Linked DNA regions of Drosophila melanogaster. The gene in region 1 interacts genetically with each later gene. Each region holds a gene or a part of one and is shown on either strand. Other genes may lie near its edges.

Evidence for each region.
Region 2: of RhoGAP100F (region 1) and Liprin-alpha, changing one suppresses a phenotype caused by changing the other (phenotypic suppression), as found in Drosophila melanogaster (one study listed by BioGRID).

Annotation. Positions count from the first base shown.
Region 1 is NT_033777.3:31,810,766-31,815,914, forward strand, and holds the start of RhoGAP100F (Rho GTPase activating protein at 100F), read left to right. Parts: upstream 1-1,843; 5' UTR 1,844-3,061; intron 3,062-5,149. Other genes in the region: FeCH (ferrochelatase), read right to left, coding at 1-175, 235-556, 612-713, 976-1,354, 1,409-1,445. UniProt on the Drosophila melanogaster protein: GTPase activator for the Rho-type GTPases by converting them to an inactive GDP-bound state. Promotes the anchoring of Liprin-alpha clusters at synapses. Recruits and keeps Nrx-1 levels high in active zones in the presynapse opposite the postsynaptic region.
Region 2 is NT_033779.5:6,721,965-6,727,181, forward strand, and holds the start of Liprin-alpha (Liprin-alpha), read left to right. Parts: upstream 1-1,938; 5' UTR 1,939-2,120; exon of another isoform or gene 2,121-2,213; 5' UTR 2,214-2,429; intron 2,430-2,862; 5' UTR 2,863-2,883; coding exon 2,884-3,132; intron 3,133-3,193; coding exon 3,194-3,295; intron 3,296-3,811; coding exon 3,812-4,165; intron 4,166-4,237; coding exon 4,238-4,339; intron 4,340-4,408; coding exon 4,409-4,576; intron 4,577-4,634; coding exon 4,635-4,754; intron 4,755-5,217. Other genes in the region: homer, read right to left, coding at 1-122, 178-466, 833-846.

The DNA.
Region 1 (5,149 bases):
CGATGAACAGCGGGTGGTCGTTGGGGGTTGCAGCTCGACGGATTTCCTCTACGCCTACCTCCTTGGCCAGTTCGTCGCAGTACTCGATGTCGAGCTCATGCAGCGTCTCGATGTGCTCGTTCACGAAGGCAATGGGCACAAGGATGAAGTTCTTCAGGCCTTGCTTAACATAGCCCTGTAAAGATGGGATTGGTTTTAGTGGATGGGAATGGAAATCCGGCATTAAAGTTACACCTTAATGGCATCATCAGTTGCGGGCGCCAGCCAGGGTAGCGGGCCCACCTTGGATTGCCATGCCAGGCTGTAGGGATTCGTCTGACCAAGTTCCTGCATCACCATGTGTACGCTAGCACCAATCTCCGAGGGATACGCGTCACCCCGGTTCACAGCCTTAAGGGGAAGGGAGTGGGCAGTGAAGAGGATGACCACATCATTTCGTTTCGTTTCCACAAATTTGGCCAGCTCGTCGCGAATTCGCTGGGCAAACGTTTTGATTAGAAGTGGATGAGTGCCCCACCTGTCGATAATGCTCCATTTGATATCCGAGGGCAGATTACTAAAGAGGTAGAGGGGATCAAATAAATAGCTGCAATTGTGCATTTCTAACTCACTTGCTCCGATAATGAGTAAATATGGAGTTAAAGCTGGATCCGGAGGTGGCGCAGCTGTACTGTGGATATTGTGAAAAGAGTACAACGCGCTCTGGTTTGTCCCTGTAAATATGTTAAAATATTAACATGTATTCTTTAAGTAGCGCAAATGACCATAATTTCCAGGTTTAGGTTTCAGTAATTTGTCCAAGAAGTCAACTGATAATAGCAGGACATTGAAACATGCATAAGAAGTCAGAAGTCTATACAAACTTATTTACTAGAACATATCTTATTGTGAGAGTCCGTAGCAATATATATAGGTCAATTTCACGACCTTCGGATTATTTACATCACTCTTGTTCTACTTCTCGACTACACTCACTTTTCGATCTCGGCCAGCGTGTTCTCAGTGAGGGGATTCACGTAGCGGAAACCGACGTAGTGCTTGTGAGGTGCTGTCTCCGGGGAGATTCTGTCCAACTGCTCGCACATGAGCTGGCCCTGCAGCTCGGTCCACTTAAGAATCGGTGAACCACCGCCGATCTCCTTGTACTTCTTCTGTACCTCGGGCGTCCTGCGCTGGGCGATCCACGGACCAAGACGGCTCTGCACCGGCAGCTGGATCATGTCCCGGTCGGTCATAATACGCAGGAGGTAGTCATGCACCTGGTCCGTGTGGGTCGGACCGCCCATGTTCAGCATTAGGATCGCGGTCTTCGGTTTTTGGCCGCTCAGGTTGCGCACTCCTCCTGCCAGACCACCTGTTGGGGAATATGTAGGAATGTCGTGGGAACTGTATCCACTCGTATACTCACTTGCCAGTCTGCAAAACTTTGTGTTATGCAAAAACATAGTTCCTTTTAAATTGACCCAAATTGATGGCACCGGTGTCGAATAGTGTTACCAGTTGCTAAAATAGTTTAAATACCAAAATGTATGATCTCACAGATTCTAGAGTTTTTCCAAACGTAACAGAGTTCTGTAAAAAGTAACCGTCACGCCATCTATGTGTGTAAAATAGCTGCCAACTATTACTCAACAGTAATCTAAATATTTAAAAATTTTTCCTTTTGTTACACATTTACCATTTAATTTCTCTTTATTGAAACCGAAACCAATATTTGGTATATACTGTTCTTCAAGCGACCAACAGAAATTTTTCGCGCATGCGTCCTTATTTCTTTCCCTTGTCATCAACGCTGCGTGCAACGGTAAAAGCTGACTGTGGTGCAGTCTCGCTCTTGCACGCTGCATTTCGCTCTCGTCGCTTGCTGCGAGTGTTTCGTTTCCTCCGATCAAATAATATTTTGTAGTTTTTCCACCGAATGCAGGCACAATTGCTTCGTAAAAACGCAATAAAAGGCGCGGCCCATGGTCCGAAAAGATAAGAAAGCTTGAAAAACAACCGAAAGTGTCGTTTAACATCGGAGAAAAGCAAAAGGACAAGCGGCGCAGCACAGTGAAAAAAACGTAGGAAGTTTTGGAGTGAGTGAGAGGGAAGGAGTTCCACCGCGGTGGTGGGTGTACGTGCGCGAGTATTGGTGATGTGTCCATGTCCGTGTTATCGCCACCAGCATTAAAGTGCTCCAATTCGTGGCGCACGCGCAGAATAACTAGCGCTCTCTTGCTCTCTTTCTCGACTTAGAAGAGGAACAGGATATTTTATTATACTGAAATTCCTACTCAGGAAATTCGCATAGTTGCGAAAGCTTCGCGCTGCCACACGGACGCATTCCGCTACGGGTTCCCCGCACCACCCACACACTCTCACACCCGCCTGCCGCGAGCCCACACACCGCGCCCGCAAGCACTCTCGCGCACAGATCAATGAAAAGGCCAAAAAATAAATTGCACCTTTTCCGGGAACCAAAAACATGTTGAAATTATCTCACAAGTTACGCAAAAAATGCCGCAGCAAAAAAGTTGCATGGGATGCCGTGAATGCGACGAAAGTGTGAAACGAAACGAAAGGCAACGAAAGACGGTGCAGAAAGGAGCAAAGAGAGGCTGCAAGGATGTACTGCTTCTCAAAATCCCAAGCCATTGACCACCGAATCAGCGATAAGTCTCTAACAACAAAAACCTGCACCTAGCCAATTGCATTTTGCATTCGCATTCTTACTGCCCCGGAAGTAAAAGCAGCTTCAGCGGAAATTAAAACCAATCAAAGCCGAAATAAAAGGTAACGCTAGCGAGCGAAAGAGATAGACATTTTTAGAGAAAAAGAGAGAGCAAGAGAGAGCTACCATAGAGAGCAAGTGCATCCTTTTCACAACGCGGCACACATTTACGACCGGTGACTGCAACTAGCCCACTCCCATACCTCCGCCCCTCTTCAACCCGACCCCAGTTGTCCCTTGCAATTTGTGATCTCACGTTTTCATAACTTGGGCAGTAGCCGTTGGCACGGATTAGACGCAAAACGTCAAGCATTAGGACGTCAGGAGAAACGCAGTTCCACAGTGCAGGTGAGTTTTCAACAAAGGGACCTATCCAGGAAACTCACTGGCGGCTATGCATTTAGTTAATTAAAAAACTATTTGAAGGGTGAAAAGTCCATCATAGGAAATGACCTTGTCGCTATCAAATTCGGCTGTGCTTGATAAGGCTCCCACAACTCGAATAAGCGATCATTTGTGGCAAGTGTGATTATGCGCAATTTTCTGTTAAAACAAATCCTGTTTCCAGAACTTCTAATGCTTTGTTGGTTAGCGTTATTTTGCCTTTTACTAAAAACCTTTTGAAAGAAAAGGAAACGTCTTCTGATAGGCTATCATCATTCATTGTAGTCATTGGAGGTGGAGGTTCCAATTTAATCGTAAGAAAACATGGCATATCGTCAAATCAATTCGAGCAAATGTAATATAAGCGGTGTCTATTCCAGCAGCAAATTATTTCAAGATCTCCTCTATTACACACAAGAGATGAAGATCTAGGATATATACGACTAGGTGAGAGGAACAGAAAGCAAAACATTTACCGCGACATTAACAATCAAAAATCTTGTTTGGACGCTTTTTATGCTCAAAGCCCCCATAACTTTTTACACCCCGAATCGCCCCTTCAGTCCGCCAAACTACCCCCAAGCTAAAAGCTTTGCTCCAATTTACCAGCAAACAGAGAACTTTGTGTGGAGCCCCATACCATACAAATAATTTAAAAAAGCTGAGCCGCACAACTATCTTAATTTTATGTTAGAACTAAAGCCCCTTGTATAAAAAAAATGATAGCAAGCCTCTTACGGTAGCCAAAAATGGATTTCCATAGAGACCATTAAAATCGCTTGGTACTTTTTGTTGTATTAATTTACGTTGTTATTTATTAACTTATTTTAAGGCAGTATTGTTCACATATAGAAAATCTTTAAACAGAAAGTTATTTTTAAAATTGCATATTATTTTGTTTGGTCCTTATGTGTGTGGTATAAGCCGAGCTGTAATACAACATGTGGATGGCGACTTCCATTCTGTGCAGCCATAATTCCATCTTTTTGATTCTGCCCTCACTAATTAGATAAATTCACAGTTTCCCCGCAACTTTGCTAGTTTTTATGGTTTCGAGCATATTTTTGGCATTTTAATGCGACTTCTATCCGTCGTCCAAATGGCGAGTTGGGAGCTCCAAATTCGGAGTTGCGAGTTTCTAGTTGCGGGTTGCTGGTGGCATGTTGCACAGTCGTCAGGTGAGTCAGCTGAGCACCGGCAGAAAGGACCACATGGCGCGAAGCGACTGCACTGAAAATTGGGGTTTTACCATGCAGATAATGGGATCCGATCTGAAAAGTAAATGATCGTAATATCGGTTGTCAAGAGCTGCGAGTCAGTTGTGGGGCCTTTTCGCGTTACAATTATAAGCTGAGCCGATAAATATAACTTCTAAAAGAAAGAGTATCCTTTTTTTGCCTCAGTGGGTGTGCAGTCGCATGAGCGTGCGGCAAAGCCCAGTGGGTGTGGGTGGGATGGTGGGTTTGCGGGTTAGGGTCCGACGGTCCCCAGTGGTGGGTCTGTGTTTCTTCTTTCGATGTATATTCCTTTGTCGGGTGCTACTAACCAGTCAAAGTGTGGAAAAGGGACTCATGGGGATGTGGCGTTGTGGATAAACTTCAACGCAGCAATAACCATACCAAACCAAATAATGCCATGATGGGGTTACAACTGAGCCCAAAGAGGGAAATCGATAAATCTGCCTGTCGTCATTGTAGCACTGCCTCAAGTAAAAATAATTTTAAAGTTTAAAATTCATATCGATATCTTATTAAATTCGGTTTTCACTATTTATGACAATTTCGTAATATTTGGATTCTGATGTACTTGCTTGCTGCGGAAAGTCTCCGTTTTTTGCTATTTGATAAATTATTTGCTATTTTTGCCGCTGGAATGGAGTGCGGGCAAGCTTTGTCACTCATTTATGGACACACATAGCGAGCTCAATTTGTGATGTCATTATAATACATTTTATGCGTGCCTAGACAACATTCCCGGCGACTGGCGACTGGTAAAGTTGTTCTCGATGTGGTAATGGGTGTAGCTGCTGCTGTTGGTGAACACCCAGGCAAC
Region 2 (5,217 bases), on another chromosome or scaffold:
ACAGCTCTCCCGGAAATGGGCGACGTGTTCGCCGAGGTGGTGGGCGTGACGGCATTCGATCCGTTGGCCGATTTCATGGCATTCTTGGTGGCCTCCTTGACCTCCTGGAACTTCTCTACGAACTGTTGAGCGATATGATTAGTATATAAATATGTGAGACATATGCTAACCACTCACCTTGGTCAATTCCGCCTCTGAGGCAAATCCCAAGCCGTACACCGTGTTTGCCCGCACATCGCTCCACTGGCCGAACTTCTGGGAGGTCTGGGTGAAGGTCATGTTGGGTGTGATCGTCGAGTTTATCACCGCCTTGGTGCCCTCGACACTGATGATGCGGTACAGATTTCGCGAGCTGTCGTAGAAGAAGCTAACGTTGACCGCCTTCATGCTGGCCGTGATCCAGGTGCGCTTCGTCTTCGGATCGATGTGGAAGACGTGCGCCTGGCAGGTGAAAATCGGTTGTTCGCTAAGGGTCATAAAGGGATTAAAGCGACAAGCGTGTGATTAATTAAAAATTCCATTTAGAGCAGGCAATAAATTGTGCTTCTGTGCTCGTGTGAGTAAACTATGGCAAAGCATTCTTTTACTGTGGTTTATTAGTCAACAGGCACTGTGTAATGCATTTATAATTAGTAGTCCTTAAGTCCCAGGATAATCCTCGTGGTCCTTATTTGATAAAGTAGGTCGATATATGTTTGTTTTTTGCGATCTGGCCTGATGCAATGACAGTTTGTTGCGGGGCGCAGGGCCCCCATCAAATCAATTCCGTATCCGTGGTAGCCTCCAGTGCCTTTATTTGTACACATATACATATATATATCTTATCTATTACCTATCCGCCGACATCGTTCGCTGAGCTCTATAACTTGTGTCTTCCCGTTATCGCTGGCGACTGTCGACCGCCGACTAAATTGCATTATGTGCTAAGCCTTTTCCGCAGCCTTGCTTGTGATTTTTGATTCTCGGGCGGAAAACACGCACGCACACACCTGCACAGTCACACACACCTGCACACCCACACACATGTAATTGGCCTGCCCACGCGTGTGCGTGTGTAGGTGTATGTTTGTGTACATATATATGTATGTATTTACGCCGCCCGCTACACACAGAACGGCAGCAACAACAACAACATCATAGGGGGGAGATGTCAGCTAGTTCGGCGTCGATTTTTCCCACAGTAAAAACGGCAGGTTTAGGCCGGTTTGGCCGCGCCCATCGGTCTTACCCCATTGTATTCGTTCTTTGGCGCTGACTGAGTGCTTCCGCAGCAGTTTATACCAATGCTAGTCGGTTTTACTTATGAATTTCACGGTTAAAAAAAATAAAACACAAATGTCTAGAGCTGGAACCAAAATCGATGTTTGTATGGTGCTATCGATGTTTTTACTGGCTCAACACCATCGATGATTTATTTATTAGCTTCCAAGCATCGATAACACATGAGCTCGTATAAGAGCAATGATTCTTATCGAATAATTTAATCGCTGTAAAGCGAATTGCAAATTAATTAAGATAAATAAATACTAAATATGTTTGTCTGTAAGGCACCATAACAATGTAATTTTTTCAAAAACATGTGTAGCTGTTGAAGCATTGCATTTAAATGACGGAAGTTACAAAATAATTTCAGATAAAAGTGATAAGTTTTTTTGACTGTCTAGTTGTGCGCCTACATGTAGTTTGAATATTTGTTAGATATGGTTTTCTTTGTGCGGTGTGGCAGCATTAGTTTTAGTACACATTTTTCTAATACTTGACGATAGGTCAAATGGCAACTCCTGATCGGCAATAATATTTGCATATAATTTAGCTTTGAACATAAATAGACTGCCACAAAAACTTTAAAACAACACATTTTACTTCTATATTTTTTGGACGAAATAGAACCACTGAAAAAATTCATGAAATGTAGTACATTTTGTAGTGAAGAACCAGGGTTGGTTTACGGATTTTAGCCGTTTTGCCATCTGGTAACACTGACCAGTTTCTCATCGTTAAAAAATCCATTTGGAATTCGGTTTATTTAATTAAAAGCAGCCGGGACACCTATGCGAAGGGCAAAAAGCGGCCAGAGTTGTTGTTGCTGCTGCTGCCCAGCCGCCGTGCGATCGATCGGGGTACGTGTTCCGGCGTAACGAGGAGTACGAGGCGATTTTCTCGCAGCCTCTTTTTTTTCACACGAACGCCGTCCCACTAAACCGAAATTTCAGGTGAAAAACTCATTGGAACGCATTTAAAAGCGGCGTAAGCTCGCACCTGCTGCTCGTTTAACCCTGTTTCGGGTATATGTGATTGCAAAATGCGACAGCGACACACCTAGGCACACAAAATATGCCAGTTATGCGAAAGAGAAAAAGTACTGTGCCTGTGTGCGTGCGCGTGTGAGTGTGTATGCCGTGCGTGTGCCCCCGCCTGCGACAGTGTGCGTATGTGTTGGTGTAGAAAACTTGTTATCAATGCGGCGCCTATGATAAGTCTCATTAGACATGTTTCTCCCACTATGCTGGGTATTTCAATTGGAATGGCTAGCGAACGTGTGTGTGTGTAGTAAAATATCCGGACTCCATAGAATGGACATTTTGTATGAATTAATTGAATTTACTTTATAAATTCAATTAACATAAAGAATTTGATTTTATGCAGAAGAAGCTACAGCATTAAGTATCTCCCATATGCGGAATCACAGACAAAAATTCAATCACGCCAATTCATTTATGATCAAGGATCAAATTCAAGAAACTTTAGAAAAACGCGTCTAGTTTTTGTGCTTCGGTAACAGCGATAGTGGTACAATCTCCGCACAAAATGTACCTACAGCCAAAATCCTGTAACCTTTATTCCCCTCTCTGTCTCGCACAGTCTGGCGGCCCCAACTAAATAATGTGGAACATGATGTGCGACGTAATGCCCACGATATCCGAGGATAGCATCTCGCAGCGCTCCTCGCAGTTTAGCGGGGAGGATGCCAACTTTGAGCAGCTGATGGTCTCCATGCTGGACGAGCGGGACAAGCTGATGGACAGCCTGAGGGAGGCGCAGGAGCGGCTTAACGAGACGGAGAACAAGCTGCGTGACGTCGAGAAGGAGCGGGACAGCCTGCAGCGACAGATTAACGCTAATCTGCCGCAAGTAAGTGGCCTCTGCATGCTGATACCGCAGTTTACCTAAAATCTTTTCCTGATCTTTCTAGGAGTTTGCCACCCTGACCAAGGAGCTGACGCAAGCGCGGGAGACCCTTTTGGAACGTGACGAGGAGATTGGGGAGCTCAAGGCGGAGAGGAATAATACCAGGGTAAGTGATTTTCGAAAATTTAGATCCTTGGTATTTCAATTACTGAGACAATTGAGTAATGGTTAGATCAGGTAGATCATGACAAGATTTGCTAGACTAATTTATTAATTTAGGTATTATAGCCATTGCTAAATTACATATCCCATTGTTATTCAAACAAGAAACAGTTGTAGGTACTTGCTTTTGCGAATTAGTCACATATACCGGGAACAATACAAAAGTTTACTCTGTCCGTCTTCATTTTTATTTCGAACATGGCTTGTCTATTTGTTTACTTATCAGTGACTATACAAACATTGTTACAGCCTTTTAAGAATTAGTTCTTTGTATTCACATCCGTCTTAAACCATAAAAAGTGAAGTAAACTGTATTTATAAGTCCTTTCCGCTTCATTGAATATCAAGAAAATCAGTTTTAATTAAATTTCTACGGTAATTTTACTTTTAAAGAGACAATTTAAACGTCGGTTACTGCGTGAAATAATATATTTTTAATGATCTAACTTGACTATTTCAGCTTCTCCTCGAACATCTGGAGTGCTTGGTGTCCCGCCACGAGCGTTCCCTGCGTATGACCGTTGTGAAGCGACAGGCTGCCGCCCAGAGCGGCGTCTCCAGCGAGGTGGAAGTGCTCAAGGCGCTAAAGTCGCTGTTCGAGCACCACAAGGCGCTGGACGAGAAGGTGCGCGAGCGGTTGCGGCTTTCCATCGAGAAGAACAACATGATGGAAGAGGAACTCAGCTCTGCCAAGGAGGAACTGGCCCAGTACAAGGCGGGCGTGGTGCCAGCTGGCGTGGGCAGTGGCAGCGGAGCAGGGAGTGCCGCAACCACCGCCGGTGGTGGGGGCGCCGAGAACGGGCTCAAAGAGAAGGTGCGTTCCACATTCGAAATGCAGTCAAGCATGTCCGGTTTAATATATCTCTTCTATTTTCCAATACCCTAGATGGCGGGCGTGGGCGGATCTGGTGGCGTTAATGGCGAGGCAAATGAGCTGAACGACTACGCAGCCAAAACCCACGAGCTGCAAACCATTATTGAGAAGCAGGTGAAGATTGCGGATCTGTTTCCAGTCTGCATATGGTGAACACTTTTTAAAACGCTCTTTCCTTGTCAGACCTCGGAACTTTCACAATGGCAGCGACGCGTTTCTGATTTGAACAACAAGATTAGTGAGCTTGAGGAGAACATGTCGCGAGTGCAAAAGGAACACTGCAAGGCCCAAGACCAGTGTGCCAAGCTGCAGCGGGATCTGCGCGAGAATGTTGCCCAGAAAGAGGATCAGGTGAGTGAATAATACTCACAGCATGGTTTCAGTTTTTTACTTATACGTTCATTTTTAGGAGGAGCGCATTACCACATTGGAAAAGCGATACCTGAATGCTCAGAGGGAGTCTACATCGTTGCATGATCTCAACGAGAAACTCGAGCAGGAACTACGGCATAAAGAGGCGCAGCTCAAGGTGGGTAAAACCAAGGAAATTACAGCTTATGGTTAAGGCAGGCATACATATCTTTACTTTTATTCATGAGGATCGATTTTTTTTTATTATATTTCGATAAGCGCACAGTCCATTTGTTCAAAAAAATCCATTGATTACTCATTACCTTACTGTAAAGTTATTTCCAATTGAATAGCAGATAAATTTTTCATGATCTTACAAGTCAAGCAATTATCGCTAGTATGCTAGAGTAATGAAATAAAATTAGCAGCGAAATCTAGTTCGTATAGCATCTGTGATATTTTGTAAAAAATCGATCCACTCTGTTTCTAATTGTGCCCTAGCCTGCTCTTTCATTAAGCTCCCCTTAAGCGTGACTAATCAATTGCATTTACATACGCAACTATTCCCCCCGACAACTAATCGAACAAACACCCGCCCCAAATACGAACCACAACCAATCCATGCCATATGATCAATGCCG